Linked DNA regions of Kluyveromyces lactis. The protein of the gene in region 2 purifies or fractionates together with the protein of the main gene of each other region. This does not show direct contact. Links are inferred from orthologs where the notes say so. Each region holds a gene or a part of one and is shown on either strand. Other genes may lie near its edges. The genes, in order: HSP104, PIL1, KLLA0_D16236g, MSC3 and KLLA0_F13618g.

Region 1 (6,280 bases), about 900 kb from region 2:
GATATATAGAATAGATAGCTATATACTACTACGGGTCCAGCCAAGACGCGACTGTAAGTGCCTCATGCACGAGGAGCTAAAGGTGGTTCGGAATCCACCAACGGAAATTTCGGGAATGTACATATTGATGTAGTGGCATTGCATCACGGTATTTGAATTTCCTGATTTAGAATAAAAAAAAGTCGATTACCTCCAGTACGCGTTTGGTATGGAAAGAAACCCTGGCAACATGACAATTATGAGTTTACCCACAGTGGCATTATTGACTGTTTTTTCTTTTTAACTTGCATGCAAATACGGCACATTGTTCATACTCAAAACGGTGTTGGAAAAATGCAACGGCAGAGTTGGGAAAAAACGGGTTGCTCTCCTTATATGCAAAACAAATCCGCACTTGAACTAGTTAGCGTGGCACAGGTAAATAAATAATAATTATAGTATCTGTTAGCACAATAGGAATTGTGGTAACCATGGCAATTGTAAGACATAATTCAATCAATCAATAAAATAGTAAATCGAACCAAACAAAGTACCGGTAAATCACCCTCAAGTTCCTGTACTCTTAATAAGCCAGAAACATTTCAATCTTGTAATCCGAACAACAGTTACTGCCAAGATCCGGCCTCCTTCATTCTGTAGATAAAAAAAACCAAGGAGAACACATGTCCTTTTGCATACAAACTAAAAAATAGGCACCTGAGATGAATCTACGAAATGAAACGAATTTACAGTGCTGGATTTTCTTCGCTTCTGCATTCTTTCTTAGAGGCCGATAAGCGTTTTTCCGTTCCTTCCCTTCCGACGCGTTTGCGTCTTATCCCACACATTGGTACGTGTGTCTTCGAATTATAGAGAGGCTCGTATCCAAATGCGAGCGTACGCTTTAGTCCATCTGATTGCCTGCTAATTTTTGACATGTAATAATGGAAGCCTTTCAGGGAAAATGATCTACGTCTATCTCTTTACCAAGCATGTTTAGCGATGCCCAGAACGAAAGGTATATGGGATGTTACTCAGCCAATAACTCCACGGAACGAGGGAAGAAGAGGAAAAAAGCCGAAGATTAACATTCGTGAGGAAAGAAGCATGATTTGAAGAAAGACCAATCAAATTCTTTTGAATCATGTGCAAAATTGGACTTACTGACTTGGGAAATCAGTGAAAAAGGCTGAAAGAACCCTGCCCATCTAAGTAACATGTAATACAAACTCAGCCAGAATGCTTAGTTAGTACGCTTGTATGAATAACAGCAGCACCATTGGTTTGCACCTCTTATGAACATGAAAACATGTAAAAGTCAAAATATTATACTAAAGAAAGTGAAAAAAATATGTACTTTACACTATATATGATGGTACTGTTGAACTGAAATTTTATTACTGAGTGAGTTTGTTTGTATGTTTTCTTTTTGTAATTCATTTTAGATCAGTCTAGGTCTAAGTCGTCATCGTCGTCCAAGTCCAAATCCATGTCTTCATCACCAATTTCTGATGAAGCTGGGTGATTTGGTAAAACTTCTAAATGAGATCCATCGGCACCCACTTCTACATTGACAATTTCTTTGTCTTTGATCTCACCCTTCAAGATATGGATTGCCATTGGGTTCAAAATCTCGGTTTGAATTAATCTGTTCAATGGCCTAGCACCCATATCCTCCGAGTAACCATTCTTGGTCAAGAAATCCCGAGCTGGTGGTGAAACGTTGATCTTGTAATTCTTATCATTATCCGCAAATTGCTTCTCCAAGTCTTTGATTCTGATATCAACAATTTTGTGAATGGCCTTGTGAGAAAGCTTGTTGAATACCACGATACTTGAGATTCTATTCAAGAATTCTGGTCTGAAATGTGCTTTAACGGCACTCATCACCAACTCTTTGGAACCCTCAGTAACCTTTGATCCAGTCTGAGCATTGATAAATTGGGCACCCAAATTAGAAGTCATAATTACAATACAGTTCGAACAGTCAATTGTCTTACCTTGACCACTAGTGATTCTGCCGTCATCTAACATTTGCAAAAGAACGGTCAAGACATCAGGGTGGGCCTTTTCGACTTCATCAAATAACAACACACTGTATGGTCTTCTCTGTAATTGATTAGTTAAGAAACCACCTTCTTGGTAACCAATGTAACCGGCAGTAGTACCTAATAATTTCGAAACTGAATGTTTCTCCATCAATTCTGAACAATCGATTCTGACCATAGCTTTTTCATCATTAAACAAGAAGGATGCGACTTTCTTAGCTAATTCAGTCTTACCGGAACCAGATAAACCTAGGAATAAGAAAGATGCCGGTTGATTAGGGTTAGACAAACCAGATCTAGAAAGTCTGACAGCGTTAGAAACGGCTTTCACAGCCTCCATTTGACCCACAACTTGTTGCGATAACTCACGTTCCATATGGATCAACTTTGTGTTTTCAGATTCAGTTAGTTTATTCACTGGAATACCGGTCATTCTAGCGGCAGTCTCGGCAATAACCTCGCTGTTAACCACGTTCTTCACCATTGTTTCAGAACCTTCCCTGGATTCTTCTTCAGCAACTTTTTGTTCCAATTCCTCAATACGTTTCTTGATATCCGGAATAGCAAAGTATTTCAAATCAGCTGCGGTAGCATTATCGTAACGACGTTCGGCATCCATGCATTTGTTTTCCAATTCATCGAGCTTCTTTTTGGCTTGTCTTAGTTGTTCATGAGAATCCACTTCCTGTTGGTAACGCTGTCTCATTGGTTCCAATTCCTCAATTAATGAAGCTTCCTTTTGTCTGGCTTGTTGTAGCCTTTCTTTTGTCGTTGGATCCGTTTCTTCATCTCTTTCTAATGCCTTGATTTCAACCTGTAGTAAATGCAATTCGCGCTCTTTATTGTCTAATTCTTCGGGCTTAGAATCACGAGCAACAGCGACACCGGCACATGAAATATCAACCAAGTCAATAGCAGAATCAGGTAATCTTCTGTATGGCAAGTACCTCTTAGCTAGTTGAGCTGCAGACACTAGGGCACTATCTAGAATTCTAACACCATGATGTATTTCATACTTTGGCTGTAAACCTCTCAAAATAGCTACCGTTTGCCTTGTCGTTGGTTCAGGGACATCAATCTTCTGGAATCTTCTTTCGAAAGCACCATCCTTCTCGACCAAAGATCTATATTCGTTAGTGGTAGTGGCACCAATTACCTTCAAGCCACCACGAGATAAGGCTGGTTTCAAAATATTAGCAGCATTGGCAGAATCATCTACACCTTGGCCCATCAACATATGAATCTCATCGATGAATAATATAATTAAAGTCTTTGATTCCTCGATTTCTTTCAAGACACCTTTTAATCTTTCCTCGAAATCACCTTTATATTTGGCACCAGCCGTCAATGCAGCAAGATCCAAAGAAAATAATTTGCAACCCTGTAGAATTTGTGGAACATCATCGTCGATAATTCTTTGAGCAACACCTTCTACAATGGCAGTCTTACCAATACCTGGCTCACCGATCAAACATGGATTTGACTTGATTCTTCTAGCAAGAACAGTGATGGCAGTTCTAATTTCTTCTTCTCTACCGATAACAGGATCCAACTTACCTGCTCTAGCCTGTTCAGTCATATCGATCGCATACTTCTTCAAATATTCCCATTTTTCATTTGTATCAGCGTCTCTTGAATCAATTCGTTGATTGCCTCTCAATTCGAGCATCTGCTGCTTCACAGATTCTATGTCAATGGAACACTCCTTAAAAATGCTTTGAGTTGTTGCATCTTTGAACAAAGCAGTCAATATATGATCTTGACCGACGAATGAATCTTTTTGCTGTTTCCTAATTTCTGAAGTATCTTTCAAGACCTGCCCGAAAGCATAACTTGGCTGAATTTCTAATGGTGCGGGCGTCTGAGATGGAGTCCTGACTAGGTTTCTGTTGATGGCCCTTTTCAAAGGTTCATAATCATATTTCGCTAATTCCACCAAGTTTTGTAAGAATCCAACAGAACCATCCTCGTTTGGCTCAACAAATGCAGCAAGTAAGTGAATTGGTTGTAACTGAGCATGTCTGTGATCCTGAGCCAATTTCTGGGCCAAACGGATAATTTCGTTGGCCTTATTTGTAAATTGTGTTTCGTCGTTCATTGTAGTAATATCTTCTTTCTAGACAATAAACTGTTGATGCGTTTGATGATCCTGACAATTGTTGTTTATTTCTATCAGATAGACCACTATTGATACAATTGATGTAATTGAATTCCAAAGCAGGAAGCACTCAACAAATGATTCTTCGGATGGTCTCCCTTTATATACCTCTTCACTACGCTTATATTCTATAAACTTTTTTTTTCACCTATTCTTTCTATAAGCATCTATCAAAAGATACCCTAAAATCACCTTATTAAGAAAACTAATAGCAAAGCAAAATATACCTCAACCCCTATCTCCCGGTACCAGTCCCAGCTTTAGTATTGCCCAATTCACAGACAAACAAAGCTCTAACAACTACATTACTTTTCCAGTATAAACCAGTACATTCTCGAATAATTCACTCACTCAAGGTTAAGCTTTTAAATTACCGTTGGGACTGACGTTCATGGCTACGTAAAATAGAAAATTGTAAGTACGTCCTTATTGTTAGTTGAATACTAGATCAAACAACCAGCTATCCCAGCATGTTGCTTACGGCAATGTAGAAGCTGTGTGGGGATTGTAAAGCTACTTAAAATTCACTCTGCTCTAAGCTAGAGTCCGGAACCGTGATAGCTAGAACATTACCGGATTTTTCTGGAAGACTCTCGAAAGTGCATGTCCACAAAGAAAACCGAAGAAAAAAACTGGAACAAGTGGATCACCATCACGTGATAGATTTTGAAATTTAACGCTAGGTTTTTGGAACGCACTTCTGTTTCGATGTCAGGCGTCAGTTTTGTAATTCACGTTAATTAAGACAATATCATTGGCATTGTGTCAAGTTTTGGATAGCAACATATTATTATTTTCCTTGTAAGATCTACATATGTATAACTAGATATTCCAGCTCATGTGCGTGATGATCTTTCGTTTTTGAATCAAATTAACAAGGACATCATGAAAGCAATAATGGAGCCTATGGACGAAGTTCTCTTCCAATTATAAGCATCATTTAGGGCAGTAGAATGATCAGTCTCAGTGCCATTGTAGTGACCGTCATCTGTTTTCCATTCAGTGTCCGTTTCGTTCTTTACCTCTTTGTAACCTTCCTTCAATGCAGCAGAGGTAGTGTGATGTGGTTTCTTGGTGAAACTCGTCTCAACACGTTTTTCTTCAGTCACTGAAGGTTCAGCTTCGGAGTATTCATCATCATCATCATGTTTTTTGTTCTTCTTGTCACTATGTTTTTTGTTCTTCTTATCTTCCTTTTGCTTTTTCTCTTCTTCCTTCTTAGCCTTTTTCTTCTCTTTCTTGGTTTTTTTATCTTCTTTTGGCTTCTCTTCCTCAGACTTTTCGTCCTTTGATGTGTCGTCCTTTGGATCTTTTTCCTTTGGTTTGTCTTCCTTTGGTTCGTCTTCCTTTGGTTCGTCTTCCTTTGGTTCGTCTTCCTTTGGTTTGTCTTCCTTTGGTTCGTCTTCCTTTGGTTCGTCCTCCTTTAGTTTGTCTTCCTTTGGTGGTTTTGGAGATGGCTTCAATTTCTCACATGGAACAATGTCAGCGCATGCATATCTTGTACCATTAGAATAATGTAAGGTAATTGATCTACCTCCAACAAAAGCGGGATCACCCTCGATCAATGATAAGTATGGATCCAAATATTCCGTCTCGTAATAACTGTAGTCGATGTTACCGTACTTACCACTTAAGTCACCAACTTCACATTTGGAGATATCATTACCGCATGGCACCTGCCCATTGTAAGGGTTCAAGTGTTCTTTTGTAGACTCACAAGTTGGATCGGATGGATCAACTGGTTTTTCGTGGATGTGATATTGAAGCTTTGGCTCCAAAGTCGATATTCTGACGTTTACCTTGGCAATTCCATCAAGACTAGTGAAAGTGTGATGTATCCACCAACCTTATCGGAGCCAACCTGAGGAAATTCTGCAAGGTAGCAGGCTTTCTCTGGATTTTCATAAACAACTGGCGCAGACTCTCTATCAGCACCTGCTAGTGCTATTGGAAGAGCGACTAAAATTGGAATTAGCTTTTTTTGTTGCATGACAGATATATTCTTTTAAGTGTAATTGAATAAAGACTTTGGTAAGTTTGTTTTCCTGGACTTGTTTAAAAAACCGGTTGGAATACGAGTGCTTATTTAAAAAGT
Region 2 (4,809 bases):
CATTATTATCTTGCAATGAAGCGAAGACTTTATCCAACGAAACATCATCAGTGAAGGTGTCCCAAATCAAACAAGCTTGTAGATCAGTCTCTAATTGAACTTTTTGCATGATCTCTAACATGAAATCAGTGGAATAGCTTTGCAAAATAATCTTGGAATGGTCGTTTATCATCGTAGAAACAATTTTGAAAAGGTGTAGTGTGGATTTTGAATAAAATAATGGGTCCCCGGAAGTATGTGTCATTAACGTCCTGGATTGTTGTGCAATGTTATCACATATATATTTGGAGTAAAGATCTATTCCAAGATCCGAAGCACCAATTTTTGGAAATAGTTTGAAGCATTCAGTCAATGTGCCAACATCCACGTCTCTTGTGGCTCTGGTAAACCTATCAGAAAATACTTTGCAGAGATGAGTTTTCCACTTGTCTATAAGCTGAACCGGTGGATCTGGAAGTTCACTAGTGGGTACACACCGCTGAACAAACTGCGAGTGTATTATAGAGTCTGGCAGCTGATCAATCTCATAGATACATTGGGCTATCATTGGGTAATTTGGTTCCTTCGTGTCTAATGCATCATTTATTATTTTTAGGTTATTCTTCAAAAGTTTGACAGAATCTACAAAATCTGCCAATTGATTAATATGGTCTGCTTCATCCTTGATGGAATTAAGCCTATTGGAAATTGATATCGATTGCACGTTAGAATTAGATAGAGATTCCAAGGCTTCATGGAAAAAAGACAATGTTGATGTTAAATTGGTCTTCCCTAACTCCAAGGACCTTACCGATTTGTTAATTTTATTATTTGAGCCTTTGATATAGTTGTTTAAAGCGTTAGAAGTCTGACTATAATCAGCTTCTATCAAATGAAGTAGCTTTGGTAATTGTGATTTGGTCGATAATTTGCCCGATAGATTCTCGAACTTCGATAGTTTTGAATCGAGTTGAAACTCGTCAATTTCCATAGTATTGAGAGTTATATTATCTTGAGAAAGAAGCAATGATGCAATTGATCAGTCACACAGTGTTTGGTCCCTATTCTTCTTGCATTTATAAGTGTTCATTTATATTCTTTGACTTGCCAAATATTTGGAATCATTGAATGATAGATTTTCAGTTGGAAATTTAAAGTTTGACGTGGTGAGAAAATGCACAGGTATAAGGGACTTAATAGAAATTTCAGATTATTTTAGAATTGCTGATACATAGTAGTACATAGGGAGAAACAATGAGTGTAAATGAGGATTGTCAATCCTTAAATCAATATTATATATATATTAAAAACATTTTTTCTTTGTAAGTGTCTTTCGCTTTGCTTTTCGTTTCCAGTTTCTGAATCTTTTCAACAGTATTTCCGTCCAATAATTTCAAGATTATGCGATGGAGACATTCAAAGAACAGACCAAAGTAATTCATGATCAGAAGACAGCCATTTCGTAGTGTAAGGCATAGTCATTCACAAAGAAAAAGATGCAAAAGGAATAGGAAATTGAATTTCCCACCTGTCTTCCTATATTCTCATGGCATAAAACCTTTTGGGAAAAGTCCCTTCCCCTAAAATTCTCTTTTTAAAGAGTTAATACTTGTATTTTATTAAAACGACAATTAAGAGATAGTAGTTGGCACTTATATTAAAGCAGGTAAGGTTAGTCGAATAGAGAAAAAAATTGCTTGCCAGCCAGTGGGCTACTCATTGAAAAGAATCGAAACAAAACGAATAGGGGCGAATAAGAGTATAATAAATTTGTGACAAAAGAGATTTTTAGAAGCACCTAAGGAGTAGAAGAGTGAGAAGTTTAAGCAGCAACTGGGTGTTCTTCTTGAGCTTCGGCTTCAGCTTCTTCGTCATTCCATTGTTCTTGGTCTTCTTCATCCAAGTAAGCATCATCGAAGTTTCTGATGGACAAGGATGGCTTAACAACAGCAGAGTCCAAAGTCCATTGGTTTAAGGCACTCTCAGCATCGATAATGATTTGTTTAGACGCTTCGTAACCGTCGTAAGCTGGTCTAGTCTCACCTGGAGTAACTGGAGCATCATCCAACAATTCCAAAAGAGCCTTACCGTAACCTGCGATCAAGGCCAATTTTTCAGAATGTTCAATGACGGAATCGAATTGGTAGTTGAAAGCAGCTCTTAATTTTGATCTCGTGATGTTAGACAATTGAGCTTCAGCAACAAGAGATTCAGCTTCAGCACGGACCAATTCTTGCTCCAAGACTTCAATCTTTGGAGATTGTGGGTCCTTGTACTTCAAGTAGGCAATCTTATCAGCGATCTTAGCTCTTCTTTCACGAGATGGTTGAACAGACCCTTCAATGTCTCTAACAGACTTCAAAGTCAATCTGTATTGATCGTAACGATCGATGAACTGGTCATCCAATTCAGACATTTCGTAAATCAAAACACCCAACTTATCGGTGATATCAGAAACGTCATCGTCATTTTCCAAACCCCACAACGACAATTGCTTAGCAGCATCTCTACGTTCGTTAGCAGCCAATTCAATAGAACGCAACACGTTTTTCTCAATCTTCACTAATTGAGACAACTTACGTGAAAGTTCAGGACCAAACGCACCAGCTGCGTTTCTTCTGAAACTGTAAGCTAAACCACCCTTACCGAAAAATCTGCTCTTGGTAGAAGATGGTGGTGGTGGTGGATTCTGTAAATCAGAGGCAGTTGGTGCCCTGGTAGTCCTCAAAGAATATGTTCTGTGCATGGTTGTAATATATGGTGTCTTTATCTTTTTTTTTAACTATTACTCGATCAAATGAACTCTATATAACTGAGCGTATGTTCAATATTAATAGCTTGCGTGTTATTATCACAATAGTAACCTTACTTTTAAATATAGAAGTGTTATATATATATACAAATAAATTACCAAATGCAATGGCAATTCTCCTAAAAGTGGCCGGAAGTTGCTTTGGAAAAACCTTGCTTCCATTAATTTTCCTTTTTACCCTTTTCCCTTTTTTTTATTTCTGTTTGTTTTCGTCGAAAATTTCATTTTCCATTTTGAGCAAAACCTCGCTGGTTCATAGACAGCAGCAGAGGAGAGACGAAGTGACGAAGAGGTACCGGTCGACAGCCTTGCTGTGATGCGAGACTGCCATCCCAGTAGCTGGCTAGTGCCAGTTATAGGTGTATTAGAAAACTGACTTCAAGAACTCACGCTGTTGCCTGGTGTACATTCATGCGTCCGCTCTCAGGGTTAATGCTTATCAGTATTGCAAGAAAAAAAAGAAACCGAAAGAAACTGTGGAATGGAGTGTTCTATACTGGGGAATATGTCGACCGCGTGTCCATAAATGAAACTCAGCGAATGATTTTGGCTGAGAGGTCTGATACCTATTGGATAAGCAATTTAAGGTATGTGAGCCTTGGTTCCCTTAATTTTTCAGGTGTGTTGCTTTTGCTGTCGGTTGATAGAATTATCCGGCTGTAACATTGTGTAGTATTATGTTACTTAGTATCTGTATCTGTATCGAATTACGTATGGTGAGCTGAATAGTGAATAGTGACAGCAGCAGTGGCTGAGAACGAACGCACTGATGAAAACTGAAAAAATTCAGTCACGTGACTAGGATGTCACCGTTGATAATGGCATTCAAGCGTCTTTCCCTTTCCTCATCCATCTTTCTTGTATTAATATGCTCGTCTTTCTTGATGCGCAGTTTGCTGTGTTCTGAAGGTACTTTGAATTTGGGATGCGACCAGTCGCAATCTTTACCCAGTGGACAAAACCCTACCAAGTATCTGGGGCAAAGTACCTTTTTGACATGTTTCTTCGTGCATGCAGGTCCCGATGGACAGAACCCCATATTATAATCCTCACATTCTTCTAACTGACTCTTGTGATCTACGTGCAAGTATTGACACTCCGGTGATTGTGTACAGTACCCGTTCTTGGTGAAGAATACACACTCGGGCATCTTTCTTAGGTTATACTCGTGTAAATATTCACATTGATCGTTCTTCTTGCAGAGACCTCGGAGCCAGTGCTTACAAACAATCTTGTTCTGAAATATCGGTAGCACATGCTTGTTTGGACAGCGTGCTCCGTTGGGACAGGATTTTATCCCCTCTCTTGAATTATAGTATTGGCATACCGGTCTATCTGGATCTAACGAGAACGAATATTCTTTCCGTAGAAATGGCTCGAAATTAAACTCGTACTTCGAGGTATCTGGATGAACTATACTCATTAGTTTAAACTCCCTTATCTCCTTGACAACCCAGTCTAATGTAGCCTACCAGTCGTTTATGAAAATGTCTTTGATGATTGGTAATTAATCATGTTACAAGCGAGTTACACACAATAATTATTTTACTAATTCTTAAATATAACGTTATAGGATATTCTGGGTTTTCACATGAGAAAAAGTCACGTGAACTGAATAAGGTAGCGTTCTCGGAACCAATCAGACGTTAAGTGCAGCTAGCACAAATGTCAAGATGAATGAGACTTTGAAGCTGGGTTTGTCCCAGATCAATGTGTTCAAATCAATCCTCTCACGGCCGATGGTCACAACGTATTTGGAAAGAGAACGAGTGCTGTCACTGCTGATAACTCCCCTGTTCTGCAAGAATTGTAACCCAACGAATCCAACCCCGGTGATGAACACGAGAAGACTTGATATCTTACCAAAGATAACACCGAACACTAGACCTAAAATTGACCCGTAGCACATTTGTCTGTAGTTGACTCTTCTTTGCTTCGAACTTATATCAACACGGCTTGGCAATCCAAGCTCTTGTGGTAGATTCGTTCTTTGCTTAACATCAACAATTGAATCGTTC
Region 3 (6,298 bases), on a different chromosome or scaffold from region 2:
AATAACTTCACTCACATCTTTATAAACTTTCGTTTTTCTAACTGGTTCAAAGCTTTCATCCAACTTATCAGCTGTCTTGTTCACAACTTTTCTGGTGGACTTGGCAATTTCAGAATCCCATGCCTTGGAGGCAATGGTTTCCACAGTTTCACCGGTCTTTTTCAAAGTTTTACCCACAATAGTAGAACCCTTCTGAGCCTTGACATACGCTTCGCGAGCTTTCTTGTAAGCTTCGGACTCACCTAACTTACCAGAAGCATCCTGTAAAGCTTTGATATTGTCTTGTAATTCTTTAGACTTCTCCCATTCCTGCTTAAAAGTTTCACGGAAGATCTGTAACGGAGATCTAGGGTTGCTCATAGCCTTAGCAGAGACTGTGAATGTACGCACGGTGGAAGCACGGGCAACTGCCTTGTGCATCATTGCTTGCTGGCCGTTAATTCTCAACATTGGCCTTATGATTTGTAAAGAGGTAAATTTAATACCGATAGAAAGGGCTGGAAAAAAGTGACGATACGGTCAAGGACAGTCAAAAGTAGTAACTGTTCACAGCCTAACTTCTAACTACTTATTTGGATATAGTAAGTCCAATTAAACTCCGATAACTATATGAGCTCTGTGATTATAATGAAAGATATTACTTTCATGAATAACTTTGAATAAAATCGATGATTGTTCATGAAATTTCATTCCAAAAAATAAAAAAAAAAAAAACTTCTCAAAAGTCCGCTTTATTTATATCAAACAAGAAAGACTGAAGTGGGACAAGACAAGGAGTACATTGGCTATCCCCTTCGTGCACAACTTTATCTAATGGATAAAGAAGTAGAATGATAAATCAATATAAATTAGAAACGACATATTTTAGAAATTACAAAGTCCAATGTTTAATGTTATTTCGTTTTAAGATCTCTTTTGTTATTCAATCAACAGTTATGACTTCTTCAACGGTTTCGTAGTCATATAGAGAAGAATTTGTGGTGTTTGCAGGTGGAACAGCTGCTTTCGTTTTTTTGTTGCTACTCTTCAGGGCATTTTCGACTGCACTGGCAGCTTCTGCTTGCCTTCTCAACTTTTCTTCGTGTTCAGCTTCCAGTCTCTTGTCTTCGGGATTACCTCGTTGTTGTGCTTCAATAGCCTTTTCACCTTGTAGACGAGTTCTTTCACGTTCTACTTGTTCACGTCTCTGTTGTTCTTCTTCAAGTTGTTTGGCCGCAGCTTCACGTTGCAACTGTGCCTCCTTCAGCGCCTCGTCGTGAGTTTGCTTCAGGTTAGCCAGCTCTTCTTCGTGCTTCAAACGAGCTTCTTCAGCTTGCTTTTCGTACTCGGTACGTTGCTTTTCTAAACGCTCCTTTTCTAAACGCTCACGTTCCTCTTTTTCTTTTAGCAATTGTTCTTCATGTTGTTTACGCTCTTCCTCCAATCTCCTAGTAACACTAGAAAACTCGACCTTTTGGTTGGCAATTTCTTGTTGAATTAAACCTAACGAAGCAAGTAGTGAAGAAATTTCGGTATTAATTTCATTGACCTTAGGTAAGTACTCCTTGTTGTCGATACTTTCGATCTTGGAGACGTTTTGTTGGTGAAGTTCTTGAGCTTCTTTAATTTCTTGTTCCAATCTGGCCTTCTCTTCTTCCAAAGCTTGAATTTCAGCATTAGTTTCATCCTTCTTAGCCAAGGATTCATTCAATGCAGATGTCTTATTATCCAATTCTGCTGTCAACTCTTCGACCTTCGATTCGTGTTCCTGGTTTTCCTTGGCAACTTCATCTTTCAACAACAACAATTCATCAATTTCAGATTGGACAGTTTGGTGAGCAACTTCTTTGTCCTCTTTATCTGAGATGGTTTGGTTCTTGATTTCTTCAGTTTGCTTGTACAGATCACCCTTGGCGTTAATGTGCTTGACGTTAGTTTCTAGTAATGCTTGAGATTTCTCAACTTGCTTCAACTTCAACTTTTCCTCATGTTCCAATCTAACCTGTTCCATTTGCGCGTCCAATTCAGCAATTTCAGCTTGAATTGATTGGATCTTTTCCTCGTACTCTTGGGCTTTAGTTTCATACCTTTCATCTTGTTCCTTGGAGTACAGGGCCAACTTGGCTTGGTGCTGGTCCTCGTCGTATTGCAACTTATCGTAAACAGACTTCGAGACGTAGCCTTCTTGTGTTCTGACAATTAACTCTGGATCTTCAGGGGTGGCCACTGGCGCATCATCGCCTGGAACAACGGTGCCAGCAGCGGCATTTGCAGCAACTTTGGTCGAGGACTCTGGTTTCTTCGAACGTTTGAAAAGGGCAAATAAGCCTGAAGCTGCAATTCCAGAAGTAGCTGCAGCAGTACCGGCCTTATTGGCGCCACTGGGTGTGAATGGAACACGAGGGGCAGAATTGATATCTGGTGGAGGAGAAATAGCTTCTGGGTTCTCAGTTGCGATAGCTTCGGCCTCTTGGAATGCCTCAACAGCTTCTTCCGGGGAAGGTTCGGCTTCAGGATCCACTGGAGGCTCCTCATTGTCCTGGACAATCGCCTCGGCTTCTTCGAACGCTCTCACAGCGGCCTCAGGTTTTGGTTCGCGTTTAGGATCGACCGGTTCCTCCTCGTCATCCTGGACAATAGCCTCGGCTTCTTCGAAGGCTCTTACAGCCGATTCTGGTCTAGCCTCACGAGATGGATCGACGTATTCATTAGCATCATCTTCCGGGGCCTTGTAAACACCGGTTGGATTTTCTTGTTCTTCTTCTTCAGCCAACGGGACTCTTGGAGGAACTTGGCCCTGCGCAATGGCTTCTGCTTCTTCAAGAGCTTCAACAGCAACTGCTGCTGATGGCTCGGCTTCAGGATCCACTGGAGGCTCCTCGTCGTCCTGAACAATTGCCTCAGCTTCTTCAAAAGCCCTCAGCGCGGCCTCAGGCTTTGGCTCGCGTTTCGGATCAACTGGTTCCTCTTCATCGTCTTCAGCCATAGCCTCGGCTTCTTCTAGAGCTTCAGCTACATCTTCAATGGGAGGTTCCTTACTAGGGTCCACCTCATCCAGTTCGTCCAAGTTATCCGACGCTTCAATTGCTTCCTGTGGCTTGGTTAAATCCACAATCTTTTGAGACTTTCTCCAATAACGTAACTGTTTCTCCTTCTTTTCCAACGCAGTCAATCTAACCTTCTGCTCAGCCTCGGTATCCTTCAACCCAGAAGGAATAATAATATCCTTGGCCTTCTTCACTGACTTGTCGGTAACAACGCTGTACCCCATCTGTTCCGGGTCAAGTTGTACCGCACCTTGGCTCAGAGTAGGGAACTTCTCCTGTCTCACTTGACGCGCACGTTGAGTTTCTTCCGCCGTACGGAAGGGAGAATGGTACTCATTATCATCTAGTTCTTCCTGGTGCTGCTGTTGTTTCGTGGTAACTCGCTTCAAAATACTGTTACTGTTGGTAAGATCATGCTGTTGTTGCTGTTCGGCGGCATGGTCCGCGTCATCGAGCAACCCTGCAAAGGGGTCAATTTCGTTCCGTTTCCTAAACAAGTTCAAACCGACCATTATTAACTGGAGTTCTATGGGATAGGATGCTGCTGTGTGCGTTCCAAACTAAATCAGGATCAGCGTCTAATCGCTGTCGTTGTTTATATGCAAAGAAACTTCCTTCCTTTATTTATATAAAGGAGGTATAATAAATGAAAAGGGAGGAAAAAAAGGGAGATCCGACAGGGTAACACGCGGCTAACTAAAGAAAGCCGGGTAACACCGATATCACATTGGAAATTTTGAAGGGACCTCATATTCTCGCATGTAAATCGCCAAGGTCATCCCATTTTGCTCTTAGAGCAAACAGCAATAGCAAGCGCAAAAAACGCACGGAGAACCACTCATTTTTTGTATGGCCTCGGCCCCCCCACACTGGACAACGGAAATAAGCAAACTAACAAAAAAAAAAGAAACAAAAAGAGGGACCCAGGGGACGGTTTTGTTTACATTACCCTGCCTCCCCTAAAACAAAAGACGTATGCTTTTCTCATCTTCGGCAGGAAACCTGAATGGTTCTGCCGTAGCGATGTCTAATACCGGGTAATGCATGTTCCCCTATTTCTTACTCGTCGCTGCACCGGCATCTGAGCGAATTCAAGGTTTTCCCTCTTTTTTTTTTCCATGTCATCACAGAAAGTTTTTTTTTTTTTTATTTGTTTTGCTGTTTTCAAGCCGAGAAGACATTGAGATACTGCGCCCGGGTCTGAGATTGCTGTCAATTGTTCGTTTGTTTTGGTTTGTTATGAAACTGGAAAACGCTGGAACAAACAAAAACCTTACCGCTAGAATTGCAGGTACTACGGAAGAGCAGAGACTGAAACTAAAAGCTATGAATGAGGCACTTCTTTATTTCTATTCGATACAGAGGGATATCCAGAGAGATATCCAGAGGTTCCAGTTTCAATTCTAGGTCTCTCTGGTTGCTTTCGGCAGAACAATTGGGTCTAGTAGAGACAGATGCAATTACGTTTTATTCTGAAAGAACTGAATGAAGAAGTATAAGCACGGAAAAAAAACAAAAAAAAAAACCATTTCTTGGTAATGAGAAGAGAAGAAACTGTTGTCTTTTGCATTTGTTATTGTTTTTGCCTCTTTCTGTTAAATGGTATTAGTTATACAGAGTTTTTTGAGTGCAGGTATATAAAGGGTAAAAGTTTAAGGAAGAAATATTTCAATCCGGAAATGATTACATATATTGTATGGTTCTATCCTTTAATAAATAAGGGAAACAAATTATAAATTTTTTCTGGTTCTTACTTTACTTCTTTCCTTCACTCTTTTACTTAATATATAAAATAATACTATTATTGTTTAATTAATAATACTTCTGTTATCAATTAAGGTTTAAGTCTTTACATCAATAAAAGATAAATTAAGTTCGAATTTGATTGCTTGCTTGATAAAAAGTTGGTAAAAGAAATCTCTCAAGCTGAAATTAAACCAAAACTCTAATATAAGAAAAAAAAATAGAAAATGCTTTCAATCTTAGACAATTCGCTTCGTGGTGTTAACTTTGTGTTTTTAATCATTGTTCTCGGTCTAGTCGGTAATTTGATTGCTACTCAGGACCATTCTAGTTCCAGAGTTAACTTTGCTATCTTTGCTGCTGTTTTCGGTATCGTTTTCGACTCGTTGTATGCTTTGATAGCTAACTTCATCTCAGCTTTGGCTTGGCCTATCATATTAGTCTCTTTGGACTTCTTGAACTGGGTTTTCACCTTCTCTGCAGCCACTGCTTTGGCCGTTGGTATCCGTGGTGGTTCTTGTACTAACGACAGTTTCACTTCCGGAAACAAGATTGCTGAAGGTTCTAAGGACAGATGTCGTAAGGCACAAGCTTCTACTGTGTTCTTGTACTTCTCCTTTGCCATTTTCTTGGTCAAGTTCATCTTGAGCATTGTTAATGCTATCACTTCCGGTGCTTTCGGGACCAGTTCCAACAGAAAGACTCAAGTCGGTGTCCCAACCATCTCCCAAGTTTAAAGAGTTTATGATACAAAAGAGAGGGAGGGAGAGGGAGATGCGTAATCTTCTGCTCCCGCTCTCGCTCCCGCTTCCACTATTCCTTCTTTGAACAATAGAGAGAGACAGAGAGAGAGGACACGATCAACACTTTGAAAGAAAGAGAAAAACTTCTTATACCCCCCCCCTATTTTTTTTTCGTTCTTCCTTTATTGTATACATATACCATACCCTGCTACTTCATCTATTATTTCCTCTTTCTACTAATACTGCTGCTGCTACTTTACCGCTGCTACTTACTATTATTACAACAACAAAGCCGTTAAATTATAATTGGCCATTGTCTCTCCCTCTTTCTCTCGCCCTTCCTTTTTTTTTTTTCAAATTCCACAACACAAACTATATTCTATTCTACTTCACTGGTACAGTTTCCCTTCCTTTCTTCCAAGAGTTGAGTGTCTTCATTTAGTTGACAGTTTCTTAAAATTAAAATTTAAATCTTACCTTTAATCGAACTTTAAACGTAAAAAAGCCTTTAAAAACTGGAACTTTAAGCAATGCTGACTTCGATACAAACCTTTTGTCAAAGAAAAAGTCGAAATAAAAATGAAAAAAGTACTAAAAACGACATGTTATCCGATGATTAATGAGAGAGAGAAAGAGAGTATTCAATGACCACCTAATACCTGCCGAATAATCGGTTCTTCTCACCTTTATTTTCCCTACCTTCCTTTTTTTTTTTTTTGTCCCGAGACCCTTTTTTCCTTTATTAAAATACCGTTTAATTAATATCTTCATACATTCATCACATCA
Region 4 (5,867 bases), about 470 kb from region 2:
CAAAGAGGTCGAGCTGGATAATTTTTAATCCAAGCATATATATGAAAACTCCGAAAGAAACCTGCCCAATAAAATGTCGACGCGTACAATAGTATAATAGGCGTAAAACCTGAGTTGATTATTTACTTCCTGAGTTCAAAAACTTCACTGAACACACTATTCATATCAATTCTGAGATCCTCACAGGAAAGTCCCATCAAATTTCTCTCTGTTCAGTGACACTGGACAGTTTTTTCTTAGATAATCTCATTGGCAGAGCATGATTATGTTCCCTAGATACATTAAATATACTGCAGTAGATTTTCAGGCAAATACACCTGCAAGTACCCGGTATATAATTCGTTTGTAACCTTGTACTGCCACTGTAGAATGCTTTATGGTGGCCAGTTGCATATAATCGTCACGTAATCACATCCTACGCTGTCTCTGCGCTTCAGATCTGCAATTTCGAAAAAACAAATGCGGGGAACCCTATTAAACGTTACAAAGTCCACAGAACAAGACGTAGTTGTATTTCTTCTAGAAGCAATTTTTTCCCAATGTTTCTTTACAGAACGACAACGACATTTCCCAGCCTGCCGCTGAACACTGTTATGCACATTTTGATCTGGAAAATGAAATAACATAAGACTGGAAGTAGAAGTGAGTATAAACCGCCTCAATTTAAGCATTAGTCCCGTGAGTGATGGCTGTCTGGCCTTTTAAAATCTTTTGCGAGGTAGGCGTATTAGTTGGATAGAGTAATGCATTGTCGATCTCGCTTCTGAGTATTCCGGTCGCTGGAGTTGTCTTATTCTCCCCCAAAAAAGTCAGTTCTTGCACGTAAGTGAAGCCTCTCTGACTACATTTACCTTGTTCCCTATTTTAAAAAACAGAACACTATTGGTATTATCGTTAAATGATTCTGTACTTTTGATGTTACATAAACTATACACCACCAAAAGAAGGTAAAAAAAAGCTAAGATACGATATCTTGGGTGAGGTGCTGATCATAATCTATGCTACTTTTTTGTTGTTTTTGATTCATATCCTGATTCGTTATAAAATGGGAAACACCATAAATAATAGTGAAATTTATATTCAAGTTTAGTTCTTACCCAAACACTTCAAGATATCAGACCAGACGGTCTTTGGAGGTTGGGAAGCGTCGACACCAGCCCAGATACCAGTTTTCTTGTAGAAATCGACAATTGGTTCGGTTTGCTTGTGGTAAGAAGTCAATCTCTTCTTCAATGCTTCGACGTTGTCATCAGATCTTTGGACCAAATCTTCACCGGTGATATCGTCCTTCATTTCAGTCTTTGGAGGGTTGAAGACCTTGTGGTAAGATCTACCAGAAGCTGGATGAACCAATCTACCAGTAATTCTGCTAACCAACAATTCATCATCGATCTTCAATTCAACGGCTTTTTCCAATGGTCTACCTTGTTGAGCCAACATTTCATCCAATTTCTCAGCTTGTGGGATGGTTCTTGGGAACCCGTCCAAGATGAAACCCTTCTTACAGTCTTGGTTGTTAGTCAACTCATCCTTAATCATGTTAATCATGATTTCGTCAGAGACCAACTTACCATCGTCCATAATCTTCTTGGCTTCAATACCCAATGGAGTTTGCTTGGCGACTTGAGATCTTAACATGTCACCGGTAGCCAAATGACAAGCACAGAATCTTTCGGTCAAGTTAGGAGCCTGGGTACCCTTACCAGCACCTGGTGGGCCAATCAAGACCATTCTGATGGATTCTGGAACATGGGACAAATCTTGGGACATCGCTGGTTACTTATATTTGTAGTTTTATGACTCTACTGATCGTTGAGGATATACCTGAAATTAAAGTACAAGAAAATAATTCATAAAAATTTAATCAAGATATATAATATACTAATATACTCTTGCATTGAAGCAATCACGCAAGAAAACAAAACGTGTCAGAAATTCTTATAACATTTCAAGTTCAGGTTAAACATGGAATATAGTTCTTCGTTCAAATTATCATCAACTTTTTTTTCATACTTATATAATTTTGATGTTGAAATTATCATGCTGGAATGAAAAAAGTGACTCCATTGATCCAAGAGAGAAGGGGGAAATGCGGTTACGAGTGGAATTCAGTTTTGGATAGTTATGTATGACGACCTCAGAGAGGTCGTCATTGATACAAGTACGAACATCACACGTTTCGAGGCCAGTGGCACGCGTAATTGAGCTGAGTGAGTTGGAGAGAGAATTCATCACTTTGTACGTCGTTGATGACAGCCCCAAATGTGATTTGGTCTGTGTCACGTGGTTTATAAATAATCACGTGACTGTATACATACATATATATCTTGTGTGCGTTCATATTCCGAACGGACCAAAACATCGTACCCTTACCTGGTAAACTTGTCCATCGTAAACCTGTCTGAATGTCCTTTGCAACAGACTGCTATTTTGAATCAGGTCCCATATTGCGTCTACTCCTTTCTGTCTCGAAGCAAACACCCTGGTTTCCTTGCTTTCTTGTACAGCCGTTTCTAACCGTTTCTCGATATAAATTCGCAGAGATAGCAAATTTCGATTGTTCCATAAGTGAAAAATGGAACATAAATCACAGAATAATAATAAAGGATGCATTGATATAAACAAAGAAGCATGTATATAAATACGGACATATATATAATATACCTTTAAATAGCGAAATTTGAGGAAGCTTAATTATACCCTTTTCGCTGCTCGGCTTATATCACTATTCTTCTCTGGTCAAAGTGCTATACTGAACAGTATACATCGAAATCCTCAACAATGGTATTTGGTATGAATTTAGGAAACAGGAGAAAAGCCACTAGGGTTCCAGACTTATCCAGGTATGACTATCATTACAATGGTAGCGGTGGTAATTCTGTAAATCAGGGTGATAATTACCTTAAGAGCCACGAGCTTTCTGCAGATGCGGCCTTTGCTGCTAGTGCAAGGGCTGGATCCCTGGTGAATTATCCAGAAAGAGGCTATACAAATATATCAAGAGCTAACAGTCTCCGGATGGGTCATCCTGGACAGCAGCAACAGCAATCGTCTTATATTCCTAGAAGTTACAGTTTTACTGCTCGTGGAGCATACGCTCCTCGAACCGGTAATGTCGGGAATAGAAGGTCTGTTTCTGCCATACCACGAACAGGTACAGCTTCCAGTCGTGGTGTTGGCAGTAGAACTGGTTCTATGACTGGTTCAGTAGCCAGGGTTGGTTCAAGGACCGGTTCATTTGCTGGAGGTGGTAACGGATCTATTATCATCAAGACACAAGAGGTTAAAGATATGATGGGCAGAACGCAATCGATCACGACGCAGACTATAAGAAGGATCAACGGGATGGAATACGTGGAAACTACCACGCAAACTGCTGGGCTGGTTGAAGACCCTCAGTTTCATTTCCAGCAGTTTGCTGAAAATGATGAGTTCCCAATCTCCGATGAGCTGTCCGCCACTCCTCCTGCTGCTCCGTTATCCGAATCGCAACCACGGACAAACCAGAGATTGGCCAATTTCAACTCGAATGCTATAAATAACTCAGCTGCGAATAACATCAGAAGTGATTCGGAAGAGGAAGGGGAAGAGCACTTCACTGACGCATCAGATGTCGTTGAAGAATCAGGTGCATTTGCGGAAGATGATCAGGACCATTTCCTGGCAAAAGTGAATAAAGTTGATGTTGATAACAATTCAAAATCATACACTTCAAGAAAACCCCTGGTCCAGAAACAGGGGGTGCAGCAGCAGCAAGAAGTTCAACATCAAGGTATATCGCAGGTTCAGAACACAGAAGCGAAATCAGTTGGAAGGAAAAGTACAATGTCCAAGAGGATGACTTTGAGAGATACTCCCAATGCACAACTTGAACCAGAAAAGGATACTACGGATCAAGCTACACCGGACAATAACGCCACGAAAAGAAAATCCATATTCAAAAGTAAGAAACGGAATGAAGCAGTTGCCGTCCCTACTGTTCCTACATCTGATCAGAAGACACTAAGCCAAGAGGAGATGTATGCTATAGCATTGGAGATTGCTCAACAGAAATATGGTCATCCTACAAAAACAGTTTCGCATAGTACAGACAATGGATCTAGAAACGAAATGACACCGATACTTGAAGATGCAGATGTCGAGCAACCACATGTGCTCCCGACCACACTGCACTTGCCCACGCGTGAGGAACAAATTCAACACGAACAATTGCAACAACCTACTGCGGCGATTCCAACAAATGAAAAGAGCCGACATCCAAAGAAAAAAGTCAAGAGTATACTCGATAGGGTTGTCCAGTTCAGCCAAGAGAACTCTGGTAATCAACCACCAAAACAACACCGTGGAAAACAATATTCTCAACAACCACCGGACGTCGCTCCGTCCAATGGAACAACTGACAATTTTGACACTAATGCCAGTGGTCATAATATTAATCACAATAACAATAATCACAATAACAATAATAACACAAGTTCTTCTTCTTCGCTTCGACACGAATCCGGGGCGAACCCCGTTGTCGTCACTGAGGATACCACGGTGCTAGCAGCTAGCACTGCTGCTACTCCTGTCGATGTAAACGAACCAGGCAATCCCGATCACGTGATCCCAGCCTCGTCCCCCTCCATCGATAACACCCCACGTATCAATGAGAAGACGAAAAGCAAGAAGAAGAACGAGAAAGGTTCGTTCTTCAAAAGGTTATTTAAATCTAATAAGACTCATATCAACACTAAATAGTTATACCGTTAATAGTAATTAATTTTTCTTTTCTACTCTCTTCTTGATCTAAAACAACTTTGTCCAAATTAATCTAAAATACATTCAAGGGAATATTCAATGTTAAAAGACAGGAAAAGGACAATAATGTGTCAAAATCAACAACACAGACAGAATTGAAAGTCATTGAAAGAAAGTAATCTAACCCGAAATTCATGACGATTAAAGATATACCTCATAACGTAGGATGAAGTAGTTTATATATATATTTAAAATATAGTACAAATAAAAAATAACTATCCCATACAAAGAGATGAAACAGAGAATCCCCCCATTTCTCCTTGTTTGATAAAGTAATTTGTGTGTTTAAAATGATGCCAATGCCAACTCAGAATAAACATAAGAAAGATATATTAGTGACAGACCCGATGAATTTTGTTTTCATATTAAAATAAAATTTGTATGCATTCCATTCTTTTTTTTCCCCCCTTTGCTCAGGCTTATTATAATTCTTGAGAAGCCTTAGCCTTGGAAGATTTCTTTGGCAACAAGTTTTGGTGAATGTTTGGCAAGACACCACCTTGAGCGATGGTCACGTTACCCAACAATTTGTTCAATTCGTCATCGTTTCTGATAGCCAATTGCAAATGTCTTGGGATGATTCTGGTCTTCTTGTTGTCTCTAGCAGCGTTACCGGCCAATTCCAAGATTTCAGCGGCCAAATATTCCAAAACGGCAGTCAAATAGACTGGAGCACCAGAACCGATTCTTTGAGCGTAGTTACCCTTTCTCAACAATCTGTGAACTCTACCGACTGGGAAAGTCAAACCTGCCTTAGCAGATCTAGATTGAGAAGCCTTAGCAGCAGAACCAGCTTTACCACCTTTACCTGACATTTTTTATATTGTATTATAGTGTTTGATTTGTGTGTTGTTTTTGATTTAGTAGTATCTGTGATGATGAACAACAAACAATACGAAGAGCTAAACTAGGAACAGAAGAGGAACTGAAAGTGCAAGAAGTGACCTCTTTATATAAGAAACGGTGGCACGGTAGTGCCACTGTGTCACTGAGCAAAGCACACGCTCACACAACAAAAGTAAAAAAAGAAAAAGCGGCAGCGAAAACAAACCCCCTGTTCTCACAGC
Region 5 (6,249 bases), about 500 kb from region 2:
CTAAACCAATTTTCCCCGTTTAAACACTCTTAAACCACTCAGTATTTGATTCTGAATGATTTGTACCGCAAAAATGATAGAAGATGGTACCTATTGGCCCTTTGAGACACTATTCCAAGCCAATTCGTCATTAAATTATCCGAAATTTTTCACTTTTTCCATAAATCAAAAAGAAAAGTAAACTTAATGACAACTCTCATCTCATCGGATAATTTATAGATCGTTAACTTCTCCAATAATTGAACAAAGGAATAACCTTTCAAAATCCAGCATACATTAGGACTATAAGAGTCGGCACATCAATTGTTGTTTTATGGAACCATTCTGAATATTATTTTTGTATTATTAACAGGGAATTAGTGGAGTGTTGAAGAATTAACGCACTTTTTATATTTGCAATAGTACTATTAACAAGAAATTAAGGTCTAATCCCCAATTTGAATGAGAATACCAACGCGAAGAGGGCTGTCGGCCTTGTCAAGAGTAACTAGGGCTCCTGCTGATAAGATTCTAGGTTTAACAGAGAAGTTTAACGTTGACAGACATCCAAACAAGATAAATCTGACCGTTGGGATCTATAAGGACAACCGGGGCCGTGTGACCACCTTCCCTAGTGTAGCTTCTGCCCAATCATTACTTGAGACGAGTCTCGATCTGAATAATGATTTATCGTATTTGCCTATCACTGGGTCGCAGGATTACCAAAACAATGTGTTAAATTTCTTGTATCGAGAGTCAAGTGACGGGAGTGAATTATTGGAGAACAACAGAATCACGTTTGTGCAAACTTTGAGTGGTACCGGTGCATTAGCTGTAGCTTCAAAACTCTTGGCAACGTTTGTGTCGAAAACCGTATGGATACCAAATCCATCTTGGGCTAATCATTCGAACGTTTTCCAATGGAACGGATTCAATCAGATCAAATATTATACGTACTACGAGGATGGGAAATTGAGTATCGATAAATGGCTCAAGGAACTCAAGGAGAGTTGTAGTTCTAGGGACCCCGACTGGCCCCCCTCTATAGTGTTACACGCTTGCTGTCATAATCCAACAGGAGTGGACCCTACGTTGGAACAATGGCAACAGATATTGCCAGTGATCCATGATTTAGGAATAACTCCCATAATAGACATGGCGTACCAAGGAATGGAATCAGGGAACCTTATACAGGATGCTTATCTATTAAGAATGTGTCTAGAATACGAATGGCCCAACGGTCTATTTGTGTGCCAATCGTTTGCTAAGAACATGGGCTTATACGGTGAACGTGTAGGTTCGTTAAGTGTCGTTGTCCCACCAAATCCCTTGGATCTCAAATCAACCATCGACTCTCAACTAAAGAAGATTGTAAGAGGTATATACTCTTCTCCACCGGGATATGGGTCTCGTGTAGCGAACTTGGTGCTAAGCAATCCAAAATTGAAGCAGCAATGGTTCGTAGACGTTAAGAATATGTCTGATAGACTATGGAACGTTAGAATTCAAATGCATGAGAGATTGAATTGGCCCAATCTTGTTGATTTTAAAACACAACATGGGATGTTTTATTACACAGGGTTAAACCCATATCAGGTTCAAATTCTGCAGGAGAGGTACGGTATTTATTTAACTGAAGACGGCAGGATGTCGTTATCTGGAGTTAACGACGGTAATATTGATTATTTATGCGATTCTTTGCGCCAAGTGGTTCAATAATCACATCAAGATGTTTCAATATCATCAAATTGACTTTAATTAATTTCACTTTATTTATTTATTTATTTATTACTACAAAGCTTCGGTTTGAATTGTACATTAGATAGTTTTTAGTGTTCTTAATCACAATTTTTGGGTAACTAGAATACAAAAGGGATTATAAATGCCCATTACATGTGTTTCGTGTTATATTAGTCGCTACTTTTCAGTGTTTCTTGTTACCGAAAAGCTTCTTTAGTTTACTGCTGAAGTTGTTCTTCTTTTTCTTCTCAGTAGTGTGAGTTGCGTTTATTTGAGGCTCTGGCTGAGGTCTCAAAGTAGCATGAGGATTGTATGGCGCGGGTGGAGGAGGTGCCGGTTCATATTCGCTTGAAACTTGAGTAGATCGACTCCCTTGGTTGCTGAACTGTAGGTTTGCGGATTCTTCGTCCGAATCAGAGTCGGCAAATCTTGATTTGAATCCATGAGCAATTGACGACGCTTTTGGTTTGTTATTGTTGGTATTGGAAGCAGGCAGTGGTACTGATCCGGAGACATACTGTACACCATTGTACGTTACTCCACTTTTAACAGGGGTTGAGTTTCTAGATTGTCTTTGTTGTGGATGTGGTTGGAATGGGGCTTGAGGCTGCTCGTACTGGTCAGTGAGTTGCGGATCCTCTCTCAACGATAAGTTTTTAAATCCAAGGTTGGTGGACATCGGTCTTTGCTTTTCGAAGCTTGAACGCTTTTGAGGAGGTTCCCTTGGGTAAAGTCCACTATTTTGTTGCGATTTGGCATTGTTGGACGGCTTCCCTACGACACTTCTAGGTCTAGCATCGCGAGGGGAAGCAACACCGGAATTATTCTGCATGAAAGAACGTCTATCACCATTAACTCTTTGAGCCATCATTGATTGCGGTCTTTGAGAATTTCTCTTAGGAGCTAGAGGCTGCTGGTTTTGCTGTTGCTGTCTTCGGTATTGATTTTGTGCTTGTTGTTTGCTGGCGGTTTCTCTCAAACTTTCGTGAGAAAGTTGCGCATTTAACCTAGTGTTTTCCTTTGTTGTTAAAGACAGATATGCGCTTGAAGCTTGAGATTGTTGTTGAAGTTGTTGGCTGTTGTGGTTTGTTTTCTTCATTGCGGATTTTATAGGTGAAGGAGTCTTTTCTAATGGAATCTTAGGGGTAACAAGAGCATCCTCCTCATTAACTCTCTGGAGTTCTGGATTAGCGGACCTGATATACTGAGCGAGGGTGCTTTTGCCTGTCTCCGGTTGGGACTCCGGTTGGGACTCCGGTTGAGATTCTGATTGACGTTCAGCAACGATAGGATCTTGAACTTCAATTTGATGTTCCTCTTCATCAACCACTTTTTCAACTATAGTTTCCTGGACACCATCGTTGCCAGGAAGAGCCTTTTCTTTTGAATCCGGAATATCTACTTTAGATGTGTTATGCTCTGCTTTTTTGAGAGATTCCTTGTCAGTTTCCTTCTCGGCATTAATCGTTTCATCTGGCAAAGAAGTAACTTCCTTCTGATGTGTAAGAATAACGTGTTCTTCTTCTACCACTTGCTTTGAATCAAGGTCGATCTTTTGTTCAACAGCTTCTTTGGTAACGCTTAGATCAGTATGAATTTTTGGCTGTTCTTCTTCTGTCGCTGAGTCTATCAAATCTTTAGTGATAGCTCTTTCAGGAGTCTGTGGTAATGCAGTACCGTTACCGAAGGATGGGGGTTTGAATTCTTCGACTGGAGCTGATGTTTCTTTGGCTGTAGTTGCATAGACAGTCTTTGTGATTCTAGGCACCGGTGATGGCGAAGACCTATAATGAGTAATATCCGCTTTTTTTTCTTCAACGGTAGGAACTTCTGTAAGTTTTTTCAATGGGGTTCCAGAAGGTGTTCTATGTCCAATTGAGTTTGCTCTTAAAGAGGCATGACTCCTTTTATTAGAAAGTGAGTTTCTTACAGTCATCCCACCACGTAAAGAAGTCGACCTTCTAAGACTGTTTCTCCTCTCAGCCTCGTACTGTTCCAAAGGAACTTCGACTTTGACCAACCCATGGCTGCTAGGAATGTATCTAGATACCATTTTAGGCTCATTATTGTCATTATCAACACGTACCAGACCACTGGGTCCTAGCACATATTTGGCCTCATTACCACCAAACTCATGGAAAACCTTGTCTGCATCGCTTTGAGCAACCCTGTTACCACTCTGTACGGAACGCATCGAGCCATACCTGGAAGAACGATCTCCAGTATCACTAGCATGTCTCACAGAGTTCCGACGAGAACTTGGTTTGGGACTGTTTACCATCGAGTAGGAACGGCCACTTATACTGTTATACCTGGGAATCTTACTCTTATCTACAACCTGGCCCCCAAACGAATCCTTAGAAGGTACCAGTGCCTTCCCAATGGTGTTTGCAGCAACCAAAGCACCAGGATCAATAGAACGCGATTCTCTTGACTTTCTAGAACGAAACATTTTTTTTATAAAAGCAACAGCAGCTTCTTTAATCCCTCTCTTGAACCAATTCCACTTAATATATACTTTCAGCTGACTGATACACGAATTACACCTGTTCTAGTGCCCTCTAACAAACAGTAATGGTATTTTACGTGCCTTTGCTTTCGTTATTTCTGTTGATGTTCGGCACTTAAAGTTCGATTTGAATGTTTTGCCCTTTTTTTTTTTCTGTTTTTATCTCAAGGTATCAATCATTCGAAAAGAAACCGAAATAAGACCAAATCGGACCTAAAGGTATGAAAACAAGAGACAAGAGGGTTACCATTGGTGTTACAATGTTAATAGTAGGTAGGAGGGGAACGGAATTGATCTGACGGGTTTGTTAATTATATATGTGGAGAATGTATCGGACAAACTAGAAAAATTAGATAAACTGTACGCAAAATGAGAAAAAGATAGAGCCTTTCTTACTCGACAGTCACGGATTTAGCCAAGTTTCTTGGGAAATCGACGTCGATACCGTTGTTGACTGCCAACCAATATGAGGTCAATTGTAATGGGATAATGTTCAATAGACCTTGTAGACAGTCGACAGTTTGTGGAACTTCCAAAGTAATCAAATTGTTGGCCTTGGCCTTGTTTTGCCAAACTTCATCGTTTTCGTTGCAGATAATGATTGGATGACCCTTTCTGGCTATCACTTGTTCGATTGAGGAAAGGACCTTTGGGAATAGGGAATCTCTGGTACCGAAAGCGATGATTGGTAAATCTTCGTCGACTAATGCTAGAACACCGTGTTTCAATTCACCAGCAAGCACACCTTCTGAATGCATGTAAGAGATTTCTTTGATCTTCAATGCACCTTCCAAGGCACTTGCGAATTGGTAACCTCTACCTAATAGAAGTAAAGATTTCTGATCCTTCAATTCTTTAGCACAAAGTTCTTTGATCCTTGGTTCCACGTTCAAGACTTCTTTGATTTGACCTGGAATCAATTTCAAACCTTGGATGATCTCGTTTCTTCTTTCGATCTTGGAGACTCTATCGTCTGATAGAGAAAGAGCCACCATTACTAATGCAATATATTGTGATGTATAAGCTTTTGTTGATGCAACACCGATTTCTGGACCAGCATTGATGTGGACACCGCAGTGAGTACTTCTAGAAATGGAAGAACCAACACTGTTCACGATACCCAAGGTCAATGCACCTCTTTCCAAACAGTAATTCAAGGACAACATGGTGTCAGCAGTTTCACCGGATTGGGAAACAAAAATACAAACATCGTCTCTAAAGATTGGGCATTTTCTATCCAAGAAATCTGACGCTAATTCCACTGATACTGGAATCTCCGTTAGCTCTTCGAAAATGGCTCTTGTAGCTAAACAAGAGTGATAAGAAGTACCACAGGCGATCATTATTAATCTACGAGCTTTCCTGATGGCAGACAATCTAGACTTTAGACCACCCAAGTTGACCAGATTGTGTTCAAAATCTATTCTACCTCTCATGGTGTTCAAAGTAGATTCTGGTTGTTCATAAATTTCCTTTTGCATGAAATGTTGGTATGGACCCTTCATAATTTGAGCCAATTCCATCTCAAGGGTTTGAATGGATCTGGTGGCAGATTCTGTCAATTTTTTGTTAGCTCTATGGATGTGCAATTCACCGTCGTAGATGTGAGCAATATCATCGTCTTCCAAGAACAAGACCTTCTTGGTGTGTTTTACAATGGAGGCAGCATCACTGGAAAGGAAAAATTCGATTGGAGATGGAGAACCGTCTTCTGATAAGAAAGCTCTTGATTGAGATCTACGCAAGGTACTTTCGTCACCGGCCAATGGAAGCAAACTTCTATCAGCATCGTTCAACAAGTTACATTCGTTGTTAACTGGCAAATCTGGTAACTGCTCAGAATCTGGGAATTCAACGTCGACGAAATCAACCTTCAATTTCTTTTCAGATTTAACACCGATCAACAATGGGGAACCCTTTCTTGTGGCGATGATTTCATTTGGATAATGAGTAGACTTACACAAAAGACCGTAAGAACCTTCCAACTCTTGCAAAACTTGCATCGTTAACTCATGGAAATC

What was found.
Region 1: the proteins of PIL1 (region 2) and HSP104 purify together in Saccharomyces cerevisiae (affinity purification with mass spectrometry; 3 studies listed by BioGRID). This does not show direct contact. The link is inferred for Kluyveromyces lactis from reciprocal best matches to the Saccharomyces cerevisiae genes PIL1 and HSP104.
Region 3: the proteins of PIL1 (region 2) and KLLA0_D16236g purify together in Saccharomyces cerevisiae (affinity purification with mass spectrometry; 4 studies listed by BioGRID). This does not show direct contact. The link is inferred for Kluyveromyces lactis from reciprocal best matches to the Saccharomyces cerevisiae genes PIL1 and YGR130C.
Region 4: the proteins of PIL1 (region 2) and MSC3 purify together in Saccharomyces cerevisiae (affinity purification with mass spectrometry, with the first as the bait; 3 studies listed by BioGRID). This does not show direct contact. The link is inferred for Kluyveromyces lactis from reciprocal best matches to the Saccharomyces cerevisiae genes PIL1 and MSC3.
Region 5: the proteins of PIL1 (region 2) and KLLA0_F13618g purify together in Saccharomyces cerevisiae (affinity purification with mass spectrometry; 6 studies listed by BioGRID). This does not show direct contact. The link is inferred for Kluyveromyces lactis from reciprocal best matches to the Saccharomyces cerevisiae genes PIL1 and SEG1.

Annotation. Positions count from the first base shown.
Region 1 is NC_006042.1:1,666,127-1,672,406, reverse strand, and holds HSP104 (chaperone ATPase HSP104), read right to left. Parts: upstream 4,126-6,280; coding exon 1,426-4,125; downstream 1-1,425. UniProt on the Saccharomyces cerevisiae protein: Required, in concert with Hsp40 (YDJ1) and Hsp70 (SSA1) and small Hsps (HSP26), for the dissociation, resolubilization and refolding of aggregates of damaged proteins after heat or other environmental stresses.
Region 2 is NC_006042.1:761,370-766,178, reverse strand, and holds PIL1 (lipid-binding protein PIL1), read right to left. Parts: upstream 2,726-4,809; coding exon 1,802-2,725; downstream 1-1,801. Other genes in the region: Golgi transport complex subunit COG4, read right to left, coding at 1-970; cleavage polyadenylation factor RNA-binding subunit YTH1, read right to left, coding at 3,582-4,214; FUN14 (Fun14p), read right to left, coding at 4,431-4,809. UniProt on the Saccharomyces cerevisiae protein: Negative regulator of cell wall integrity (CWI) in unstressed cells, probably by inhibiting protein kinase PKH1/PHK2 activity and regulating their downstream CWI pathways PKC1-MAP kinase pathway and protein kinase YPK1 pathway.
Region 3 is NC_006040.1:1,365,796-1,372,093, forward strand, and holds KLLA0_D16236g (uncharacterized protein), read right to left. Parts: upstream 3,539-6,298; coding exon 923-3,538; downstream 1-922. Other genes in the region: protein translocase subunit TIM44, read right to left, coding at 1-450; KLLA0_D16280g (MARVEL domain-containing protein), read left to right, coding at 4,997-5,506.
Region 4 is NC_006042.1:1,230,492-1,236,358, reverse strand, and holds MSC3 (Msc3p), read left to right. Parts: upstream 1-2,781; coding exon 2,782-4,740; downstream 4,741-5,867. Other genes in the region: adenylate kinase ADK1, read right to left, coding at 1,087-1,770; HTA1 (histone H2A), read right to left, coding at 5,223-5,615. UniProt on the Saccharomyces cerevisiae protein: May be involved in the control of meiotic sister-chromatid recombination.
Region 5 is NC_006042.1:1,260,230-1,266,478, reverse strand, and holds KLLA0_F13618g (uncharacterized protein), read right to left. Parts: upstream 4,172-6,249; coding exon 1,904-4,171; downstream 1-1,903. Other genes in the region: aspartate transaminase AAT1, read left to right, coding at 442-1,698; glutamine--fructose-6-phosphate transaminase (isomerizing) GFA1, read right to left, coding at 4,621-6,249.